Linked DNA regions of Canis lupus familiaris. Each later gene encodes a partner of the first gene's protein in a complex. Links are inferred from orthologs where the notes say so. Each region holds a gene or a part of one and is shown on either strand. Other genes may lie near its edges.

Region 1 (5,732 bases):
AATTACAAATATTTTTTTTGTGGCGGTTGCCACAGGGAAATGAGGCTGGACAGGTGAAGAATGGAGCACCACGGGTGCTGAGCCTCCTGGGTGACCTGGAGCCTCAGGGGCCAGAGCACAGGACATGCAGGCAGAGAGCACAGGACACTGACAATGAACAATGCTGCAGGGATGAGTGGAGCCTCACCTGATTTCCCATCTCTTCCACAGCATTTCCAGTGGGCCCGTCCAGAAACCCGGCATCTTTATCAGCCACGTGAAGCCTGGCTCCCTGTCTGCCGAGGTGGGGTTAGAGGTGAGTGACCCTGGCACGACCCCAGTGGGGTAAGGGGTCAGACGATGATCACACAGCGACAGGGGCACGGGCCTTCCCACACAGCCCTCTCCCAGCAGCCACTGGCTATGATTCCTACCCGCCCCCAAGGAAAGCTTCACATTTGACCTTTCTACAGTCTTCTCCAGCTCCAAAAGCCTTTTCTCCTGAGCTTGGGAATGTAGTAATAATAAAGAATTGATGTTCACTAAGTGTTTCCTGGGTCGGACATTGTTCTAAGTCTTTAAAATTTGCAAGAACTCTGAGAATTAGGTAGTGTCATTATCCTCATTTTACAGATGGAGAAACTGAGACTTGGAGAGAGTATGTGATTTTTCACATCGTGTAATAAGTGATAATAAGATCACGTAATAAGTGTGATAGGGCTGGGATTCAAACCTAGGTGGTCTGAGGCCAGAGCCAGAGCTCTTACTCTCTACTCTGGACAAGTTACCTCCTGTTGCTATGCTTCAGTTTCCTCTCCTATAAAATGGGGGCATAGCCTTCCTTCTAGGGTCATTGTGTGGATTAATTCATTAAGCTAATTAATACATATACTTCAAACAGTGCCTGGCACATAGTAGGTGATTGATGGATGTTACCTGTTATACAATTTATTATCATGGCTCAAAACAGCCTCAGCTATATGAGAAACCAAAGGGCTCCTGTGTCTACAAGCTGATTTATGACATTTTTGAAGCAAATGTCATAAATTAAGCCAAAGGAATGAACCTCTAGTAGTATAATATTTGACCACTGATAAAAGAGACATGAGGTGGATGCACCTTGAGAGGATCCAATCAGAGCTTTCTAACTGCTGTGTTCATCAGGAAGAGTTGAGGTGCAGCCACTTGAAGGCTCAACATCTGACCCTGGCCACCAGGGGAAGCCCTTCGTGCAGATGAGTGGGCTTACAGATAGTGCAAACACGCTGAACCTTCTCCCTTTCTACACCAGGCAGGGGACCAGATTGTCGAAGTCAATGGCATCGACTTCTCCAACCTGGACCACAAGGAGGTGAGAGGTGGGGTGTTCAGCTACTGGTCGTTTTCATGTCTGCCCTCTACTTCTCGTGCCCCTCTCTCCCTGCCGCGGTCTGAGACCATCTGTGCTCTCTAGAGACCTTGACCGCCCTGATCTGTCAGGCTTCAGCCAACCGTCCGCTTGTCCCCCCAGGCCGTGAACGTGCTGAAGAGTAGCCGCAGCCTGACCATCTCCATTGTAGCTGGAGCTGTAAGTCCAGGATGACCCGATAGGGGGCCCTAAACTCTGACCTCCAGCCCCAGCCATTCAGACCCCTGATCTCTGCCACACACTCCCGGGAAAGGCCAGAGGGTCTCTATTCCTAAAGCTCTGAGAGAGCAGAGGGAGAGATCTCTGCCCAGCCAGGAGAAGCTTGCTCAGAGACGGCAGGAGCCACAGTGAAGACAACCTGCATCTTGGTCCCCAGGGCTGTGGCAGTGGGTACCCAGGTTCCTCCCCAGGAGACTGAGTAAGGGGCCTCTTTTCACTCCCTGAGGGCCGGGAGCTGTTCCTGACAGACCGGGAGCGGCTGGAGGAGGCACGGCAGCGTGAGCTGCAGCGGCAGGAGCTTCTCATGCAGAAGCGGCTGGCTATGGAGTCCAACAAGATCCTCCAGGAGCAGCAGGAGATGGAGCGACAGTAAGTGTGGCCAGCCGGGATGCTCCTCCCCGACCCTCCCTGCCCACTGAGTCCTGGGCCAGATTCATCCTGCCCCCCTGAGGCCTGTCTTCAGATCACATGGGTTCAGTGGTGGTCAGTGCAGCCATCCCTTGCTGCCAGACCACCAAGCTCTTCCCTGCAGCTGAGGAGAGCCCCTGACTTCCAAAACCCATGAGTATGGAAGATGAGGATGCTATTAGCACTAAGTAGCTAACATTTGTTGAGTATCAGTCATGTGGCTGGTCTTGTGTCAGGGCCTTGTTCACGTTTTACTTAATTCCTACAATAGCTCGGGAAGATAGATGATATTCACCCATTTTACAGGTGAGGAGACTGAGAGGTCTTAACGCAGAGAGGGTAAACCACTTGTGAACAAAGGCACACATGGCTGAGCTGGGATTCATACCTGTCTGTGGTAATAAGGCCCCTCTTCCTGGAGCTGATCGAGATCATGGACTGAAAGAATAAATGGTGTGAGCCATTCACACACACACACACACACACACACACACACACAGTCAACTCCAGATACATTCTAAGAGTGTAAAAGGAATTTGGGAAAGGAAGGTGAACAGGATCTTCACCTCTTTTCTCCATCACAGAATGAGCCTGGAGAACCAGCCCTGGTGGTACCTCTGCCCATTGCCCTGGCCTTGGCCAGCAGCCCTGACTACATGGGGCCTAGGGTCCTCTTCCTGGAGGACCTCACTCCAGCCAGGCCCTGCCTGTCATCAGTCACTTTATCTAAGTGTTTGGAGGTAGACACATAGAGTGGGGCCTGTGTTGATCTGCCTCCCATCCCTGGCATCACAGAATCTCCACTCAGCAGTGCCAGACAAAACCATACACGGGGCCCAGATTTTGTTGGACCTGTTTCTCCAGCATCCAAATCTGGTCCAGGCATCCTTGGATGGGAGCCTGGAAGAAAGATTTTAAACCTTTCTCAAATCAGGAATTGGCTCCAAGGAAGAGTTAACTTTTCTTGCATAGTCTCCAGCATGCCATCTTGGATGTTCTATGTCTCTTGCATAGACTCCAACATGCCATGAATTTGTGTTTCAGAAGGAAAAAGGAAATTGCCCAGAAGGCAGCAGAGGAGAATGAAAGATACCGGAAGGAGATGGAGCAGTGAGTGCCTGGGTCCCCATGCCTGCACACACGTGTCAGTGTGCAGACATGAGTGTGCTCTCGGGACTGTGGCCCGCCAGAGGCCACCTCCAGGCCCGGTTTGCCTGGCCCTCTTGTCCCCTGGTGGATCACCTTTATCTGTAGCCATTCCATAGTTCTAGTAAAGCCCATCGTGTTAGGGTAACTAGAAAGTGGTCTTGTAATTCCCAGGGTAACATTCACACTCGATGCAGATTACGACGATGAGTACCAGGGACTTTGTTTTCTTCAGCATAGCTAGAGCCACGTGACCTCTTCCCGGGCTGTTTAGGGTTTCCCAGGAGACAGAGGGCGGGCCTGTAAAAATCCTGACCCCAGTCACAGGCATGGGGATCTTATTTCAGGATTGTGGAAGAGGAGGAGAAGTTTAAGAAGCAGTGGGAAGAAGACTGGGGCTCAAAGGAACAGCTGCTCTCACCTAAAACCATCACCGCAGAGGTGCACCCAATACCCCTTCGCAAGCCTAAGTGTACGTATCATGTGCTGCAGGAGGGGGCTTCTTTCTGGGGCCTGGGGTTTGAGGAGTATGTAGAAAGAGATGCTGGTCTTCCTCCACTCACCACCACTTCCCCAGGTGAAGAGTCCGTGGCTCCTTGGGCTGCATCTTCTTCATAGAGGGGCAGCCATCTGCCGGGGCACTGGGATGGGTGGGATCTGTCTGCCCCCCTGTCCCTGGGGGCCTGCTGCCAGGCTCTCGCCCACAACATAGATTTAGGTAGGTGGACCTCTCCCCATGCCTTTGCGCTGCTGACCAGGGAATGGAGAGCTGTGGCAAAAGTGAGCTGCTCATGGGATCATCATCTCAGTTTGCTGGGTGTCATGTCCACATCCCACCTGATTCTGAGTCAGAGCGGGGTGCAACAGCAGCCAGAAAGAGGGGAAATGCTCATGTTGGAGAAAACTCTGGTGGTCCAAGGCTGATGCGTACTGTGGGGAGAGCTTACCTGAAGCGCCCCTGCCACCTGCATCCCTGTGTGTAGGCTATGGTCATATCCCTTCAGGGATGGAGTCAGGAAGAGGACTGAGACCCCTCTGAGACCCAAACTGTGGCCATCCTGGGGCCTCAGCTCCCTCTGCCCTTCACCCCTCCTTTCTTCATCTATCCTGGGTTCTTACCTCCAATTTCAGGCCAGGCCTCCACCACCTGTTCCCCTGTCCACCTGCTCTCAACCCCAACTGGCAGGATGTCTTTTCAAGGGGCAGCTCACACCACCAGAGCAAAGTGGGGGCTCAGTCTTCATGCTTCTCCAGTCGGCTGGTGGTAGGAAGCCAAGTAAGGTAGCTTGGGGGCCATAGTAATCAGGAGTCCAGGATTCCAGATTGAGCCTTACTCTCACTTTACATGACAAAGGGCCAGTTCTACTGCGGCTGATTGTGCTCAGCTGACCTGGGAACCTGTAGATATGGGGTGAATCTATATACTTAAGAACCAAGATTCCCCATCTCTCCTGTGTCACAGCCATTCGGCATCTTGTGATGGGGTCTGGACAACTCTGGCCCCAACTTTGGATCATACCTGAGCCCTAGAGGGACGTCATCTTGCCAACACAGTCCACTTGGGTCAATGAAGAGGTTGGACAGGGCATCTGGGTGGTCCCATTTCACCCTCCCTGGGGCGAGGCAGATACCTGCCAGCACATTCCTTCCTGGCAGCAGGGTATGGTGTCATCTCAGGGTCCTCTCAGAAGGACAAAGCGAGCTCTCATCAGCCTCCCCCCTGACATTTGGTATTAGTTGAGGATGTGGCCAGAGCTAAATTCCTGGTGAATAATCTGTGTTTTAGACAGGGAGCTAATTTGCTCTTATGAGTGAAAGAGGAGCTTCAAAAGGAGAGAAATCGATTTTAATTGCTTCTCATGAAAGTAATCCTAGCCAATTTAGTACCTTTCTAGAAGTTGGGTCTTGGCTTCAGAGCAAACACACCCTCTCAGGAACTATAAAAAATAAAAACCCTTTCTCTAGCTAGCTATTTATTTAGTGCTTTTAAACCAAATCAATCTTCTTGAATAAAGGAGCAAGAACTTTCCCTTTGCTTGAAGATATAAATGTTTTCTGAGGAATGTGCAAAGCATGGGATTAATGCCCCAAGCCTGTCTGCCTGAGCTGGGGCAGCTGCTGCTCCCATCCATCCCCCATATGCACTGGCAATTCCATCTTGTTGAGAAATAAGTCAGGAGATGCAAGAAGGCCTCCGAGCCAGCTCCATTCTTGCCTCTCTCCCCATTCCTGGGAGGCTGGAACAGTCCATGTTGTGCTGGGCCACCAGGGACCAGGCCACTGCTGGCTCCTCCCTGGCCACTCTTTAGCTCTGGGGCCCAGTTAGCCAATAGGTTATACCTGACTCAGGGCTTTGTGCCCGTGAGAGGCAGGGGCACACGTTTTTGAGCAGACAGGAAAGAGTGTGGAGCATCTCTTGGCCTGAAAAAGGAAATCCCTCATCCTAACGATGTGCATGGAACTGGCTGCTCCTCTCACCATCACTGTCCCAGGGGCAATGCCTGCCTCCCCATGGCCAACCCAGCAGAACCCCAACATTCTGCTGACCCAGGACAGATTGTCACAGAGGCCC
Region 2 (5,732 bases), on another chromosome or scaffold:
GATTGGCACTTAGAATTCTACTTCAAATAATTCATCTTTGAGAAGCCCTCTCTCAAGTTATATATAATTTTCTACTTTAGAGTCCATTAATGAATTCAATTATGTTTAAATTTAAGTGGCTCATGCAAAAAATAGCTAAGGAACATAACCTTGTTCTCAAAGTATCCATAATCATGTTTGAATATTTCACACGCTGGGCTAAAAAAATTATTTTTCCCCCTTTACAAATAAAAAATGTTGCCTCCAGGTTGCTTCTACAGTGTCTACTGGTGTTCTCATAGAAACCAGAAAAAGGAACAAACATTGACCCTGGAGCTAATTATTGTGAAAAACTTGCAGATGAAAGCCTTGTATTTTCTCAGAGTGGACAGATAATTTATCTTGGAATAAAGGTTTGGACAAAAAGAGATAAGAAGAATAAATAGATACAGACTTTGAAAATAGGTCTTCCTCACTTCAGTTACATGGACTGTTTTTTTAAAAAATTTATTTATTTATTCATGAGAGACACAGAGAGAGAGGCAGAGACATAGGCAGAAGGAGAAGCAGGTTCCCTGGACTGAGCCTGATGTGGGACTTGATTTCTGGATCCAGATCACACCCCCAGCCAAAGGCAGACACTCAACTGCTGAGCTACCCGGGCATCCCAGTTCCATGGACTATTGTCCAAACATATTAAATATTTTGTAACAATATGGGAAGTTTTTATGGTGGTTTAAGGAGAAGAAAAGACAATGCAAAATGGTATGTAGTTGATGGTAAAAACTATGTAAAAAATACCACAGGAGAATATATAAATAGTTCATCAGTTATATAGGGTGATAGATTCTAATTTTATTGTTGTATCTTCAGAGGACATGGTCTCCATGAAACCTGTCATCTTATATTTATTGAGGCCTGCACTGGTTCTATTAGATGGCAAATTTTTATAAATATTTTCTGTGTGCTTGAAAAGAACATGTATTTTTTATCCAGTAAGAGTTCTACATAGTATTCTTAAATCAAGCTTTTTAATTGTGTTCAGATCTTTTATATTTTTTCTAATCTTTAGTTTAATTGATATGTAACATTAAGAAAGTGTATTAAAATCTGCTATGATTGTGGATTTGTTCTTTCTCTTCCATTTCTATGAATTTTTGTTTTTTCTATTTGGGGGCTATGTTATTACATACACACAAGTTTAGGAATATCATATTTTATTGATGACTTGTTCCTTTCATCATTATGTATTATCCCTAGCAATTTTTGTCTTAAACTGTATTTTGTCTGATGTAAATATAGCTATACTATTTCTGTCGGTATTTTCTTTTTTTTTTTAATTTTTATTTATTTATGATAGTCACACACAGAGAGAGAGAGAGAGAGGCGCAGAGACACAGGCAGAGGGAGAAGCAGGCTCCATGCACCGGGAGCCCAATGTGGGATTCGATCCTGGGTCTCCAGGATCGCGCCCTGGGCCAAAGGCAGGCGCCAAACCGCTGCGCCACCCAGGGATCCCAGTCGGTATTTTCTTTTAAAAAAAAAAAGATTTTGGGGATGGAGTAACTACGTGATGGGCACTAAGGAAGGCACTTGATGGGATGAGCACTGGGTGTTATACTATATGATGGCAAATTGAATTTAAATAAAATATTTTAAAAAGAAACAGAGAGAGAGAGTAAACACATGCATGCGCATGTGGGGAGACAGAAGAGGAAGAAGGAGAGAGAAAATTTCAAGCAGACTCAACATCGGGGCAGAGCCCTATGTGGGGCTCAATCTCACCATCCTGAAATCATGACCCTGGCGGAAATCAAGAGTCAGATACTTAACTGACTGAGCCATCCAGGCTCAGTATTTTCTTGATAAAACTTCCATTTTTTGCTTTCAATCATTCTGTAATTTTATATTTTAGCTGTGACTATCGTAAATAAGATATGGCTGAGTCTACTAAGTGATGAATTTGGTCCATTTACATTTATTTTTATTATAGATAGATTTGGACCATGTTTTTGGTCTTATATTGTGCTCTTTATTTACACTAATTTTTCCATTGTTTCCTTCTTTCTTTAAGGTGGAACTTGTAGTTATTGATTTGAGAAATTTCTCCTTCTCTAATACAGGCATAAAAACTGCAAATTTCTTCTCCAAGCTCTATTTTAATTGCATCCTACAAATTTTGAGATGTTGCATTTTCATTTTCATTCAGTTCAAAATATATCAGATAAATTATTTTTGTTCAAAATATATAAAGAACCCTCATAACTCAATAAGACAATATCCCAATGAGAAAATGGGCAGAGAATTTACATATAAATGTAAGAATGGCTAATAAGCATATGAAAATGTGTTCAACATCATTAATCATTAGTAAATGCAAATTAAAACCATAATGATACCACTTCACATCCACTAAGGATAGCAATGAACAAAAAGACAACAGAGGCTGCAAGGATATGGAGAAATTCTCACCATCCACTGCTGTGGGAATGTAAAAGAGTATGGTCACTTTGGAAAACAGTTTAGCAATTTCTGAAAAAGTTAAATATAAATTGTCATATAACCCAGCCATTCCACTCTGTGATATAAACCCATGAGACATAAAAATATATATCTATAGACTTGTGTGTAAATGTTCATAGCAGCATTATTCATAAAACCATCTAAATGGAGAAACAATCTAAAAGTCCATCAGCTACTGGATGAATAATTAAAATTTGATGTATTGGTATAATAAATATTATTCAGCAATAAAAAGGAAGTACTGTTACTAAAAAAGGAATTGAACTTCAAAACTTATGTGAAGCTAAAAAAAACCCCTAGACACAAAGAATATATATTTTGTGATTCCATTTATATGAAATGCCCATATAAGGCAAATCTATAGAGACAGAAACCAGATTAGTAGTTTCCTATGGTTGGGAATGGGAATGGGAATAGGGATTGACTACATATGAGCATGAGGGATATTTTGAGAGTGGTAGATATGTTCTAAAATTGGATTATGGTGATACTTGCACTGCTCTGTAAATTTACCAACAATCATCAAATTATACACTTAAAATGGATGAATTTCATAGTATATAAATTATACTTCAATAAAATGTTTTTTAAAAATAGACCTCCTCAGTGGAGATTCTGAATTGTTTGGAAATTATTTTGTACACTCTGTGCCTAGATGACCAATATTGCATTCAAGACTTGCTAATGGACATAAAAAGATTAAATGTGCCTCACAACATTCAAGATGAACACAGAGGTCCTTAATATTCGATGTCATGGCCATGCCAGAAAGGAAAGGTCCAAGTTTAGTGCTGTGAACCTTTCTGGCTGCCTTCCATAGAGGAGGTTAGAATGAGCTTTGTCCTGGGGTGACGCTCTTCCTTGTCACTGATTAACCAGCTTTATAGGAAGGCTGCTCCACTGACAACCTGCTTTGCCTGGAGAGTGATATCTGGCCAGGCTCTGGTGAGCAGAAAAAATGTCCACTCGCTACCACCAAGCTGCTAGTGATAGCTACCTGGAACTCTTGAAAGAAGCTACCAGGAGAGATCTGAATCTTTCTGATGAGGATGGTATGACTCCCACACTCCTGGCAGCCTACCATGGGAATCTGGAAGCCCTAGAAATAATCTGCAGCCGAGGGTAAGTTCAATCTGATACTTTTGATTGGAGACCGTGTTTCCGGTAGGCTTTTTCAGACAACAGAGAGAGGGAAGCCAGTGAAAATACTTGGTTCTTTATAGACCGTCTAAATAATTGTCTTTTTAGAGAAAGGGAGAAAACTACCTAGAGATTTTCTTTTCACACTAAACTGCCAACCTGAGGATGGCTCATCCCTTATGAACCACACATAGAAAGATCCTGAACTCTAAGTCTTTGTTATCTGCTTTGGGTGGGTGGGGGGACTATTTTAATTCTGCACTTTTAAAAAATCTTTTCCATGAAATGTAAATGGTTGGCTGTTTAAAAAGGAATCACTGTTCTACTTGACTTTAAGATGTCAACCTTGATTGGAACAAATGATGCGTTTTTATTTTATTTTTTTAAATCTATGCCATTATAATCCCACAGCCTTTTATTAATATTCAGTCCTAATGCAAGCCCATGATTCTTAGATGAAGTAGTTGGCTTCAAGCTATAAAAGGGAATCTCGGTCTGTCTGAACTTTATTATCTCTTTAGCTATTAGATACATACAAATGCTCCTGTACTCCCCCCAAATTCTAATGCAGGAATTAGCTAGCTCTTTTCTTTTGCTTGTTACCAGAGTGGCTAGGCAGTGTTGGCAACCAAAATGCAACAGGAGTAAAGAATGGAAAAAAAGAAAATGCTAATAAAAGAACTAAGTGAATTAATTTCCATTTAATACATATTTATTTATATATATCTGCAATGTGCCAGCCATTTTACTGGCCACTGGAGATGCTGTGATCAACAAGAGAGACACCATTCCTCTCCTCATAGCGATCAGATTTAAGAGATGAAGACAGAAATTAAGTAAGTCATGTATAATATATGTTACAAAGGGGAAAAGAGAGAGCACTAAATAAATAACACAGGAATCTATCCCAATCCAGAGACTGATAATAGGCATTTTAGAACTTTGAAGTTGGGACCTGAAAGGTGAGAAGCAGCTGGCCAGAAGATGGAAGACAGAATGTTTCCCCCAAGTGAGAGCACTGTGCAGTCTAGGCATTGAAGTTGAGCATAGCTGGATGTGGCTGTAAGGGGAGAGGCTAAGTTATAAGAGACAAGGCCGGATCACAAGAGCATTGTAAACTCTGTTGGAGAGTTGAACTTTGTTCTAAAGGCATAGGAGCCATTGTCAGGTTTATCAGGTTTATATAGGATAGCCACCTGGTAGATGTGTGTTTACCAAACTTGCTCAGGTAGCTGTATAGCAGTCACAGAAAATGTTTAGAGGCTGTTTTAATGGTTGAGATGAAAGACAAATTGGACTATGGCAGTGGCAGTGGGAATGGGAAGACAGGGATGGATTTAATTGGTAGTTTGGATGCAGAATCAATTATAGTTGACTGGACATTGTGGTGGGTGGAGGAAGAGGAAGGTAAGGCCCCACATTCTGTTAAGTTGCCCTGGAGTACACAAGCTGAAAAAAAAAATCTTGTACAAGTTTTTTTAGGTTCCCATATTGACCATAGCTTAGGGATTGTGTGAGATCAATTTGCCAATTAAATTTAAGGGAGTTAAAAGGGAAACTTTAAAATTTGAATTTAGAAATTAATCCATCATTGATCATTGACAGTGGATCACATGGTAATCATTAATGTCCAATATCTGGCTTTGTTAAAAATTGTGTATTCTTTCTTTTCAAGATTTAAAGATGAAAAGCAATAATTACATATGTTATCTTACATTTGGAAAATGGCCCCAATTAACAAAATTTCATTTTGCCTATTAAGTGTATATGGATTTTTTTCAGTTTTGTTTCATTTTCTAATAGAAGCAAGTTATCTTCCTCCTTGATTCTTAAAGGGACACACACTTATTGCAAAATTTTACATTGTACTAGAAAGATGTAGTTAATAAAGTAAAAATCAAACCAGTTTTCACAGTCATTAACATTTGGGCATATATCCTTCCAGGCTTTTTCCTTTAAGAACATGTGCATACATGTATATTTTTCCCCCTTACAAAAGACAATCATATTCTACAAACTATTCTGAAATCTGCTTCTAATTATTTAACAATAGATTATAGACTGTACTTTTTTTTCATTTGCAACTTTAA

Evidence for each region. The genes of interacting proteins can lie anywhere in the genome.
Region 2: USH1C (region 1) and ANKS4B share a complex: the UniProt entries of both Homo sapiens proteins name them as parts of the IMAC/intermicrovillar adhesion complex. The link is inferred for Canis lupus familiaris from reciprocal best matches to the Homo sapiens genes USH1C and ANKS4B.

The regions. Positions count from the first base shown.
Region 1 is NC_049242.1:40,743,366-40,749,097, reverse strand, and holds part of USH1C (harmonin), read left to right. Parts: intron 1-210; coding exon 211-295; intron 296-1,270; coding exon 1,271-1,330; intron 1,331-1,489; coding exon 1,490-1,546; intron 1,547-1,832; coding exon 1,833-1,975; intron 1,976-3,058; coding exon 3,059-3,124; intron 3,125-3,507; coding exon 3,508-3,632; intron 3,633-5,732. UniProt on the Homo sapiens protein: Anchoring/scaffolding protein that is a part of the functional network formed by USH1C, USH1G, CDH23 and MYO7A that mediates mechanotransduction in cochlear hair cells. Required for normal development and maintenance of cochlear hair cell bundles.
Region 2 is NC_049227.1:24,449,155-24,454,886, reverse strand, and holds part of ANKS4B (ankyrin repeat and SAM domain-containing protein 4B), read left to right. Parts: intron 1-3,381; 5' UTR 3,382-3,460; coding exon 3,461-3,624; intron 3,625-5,732. UniProt on the Homo sapiens protein: As part of the intermicrovillar adhesion complex/IMAC plays a role in epithelial brush border differentiation, controlling microvilli organization and length. Plays a role in assembly of the complex.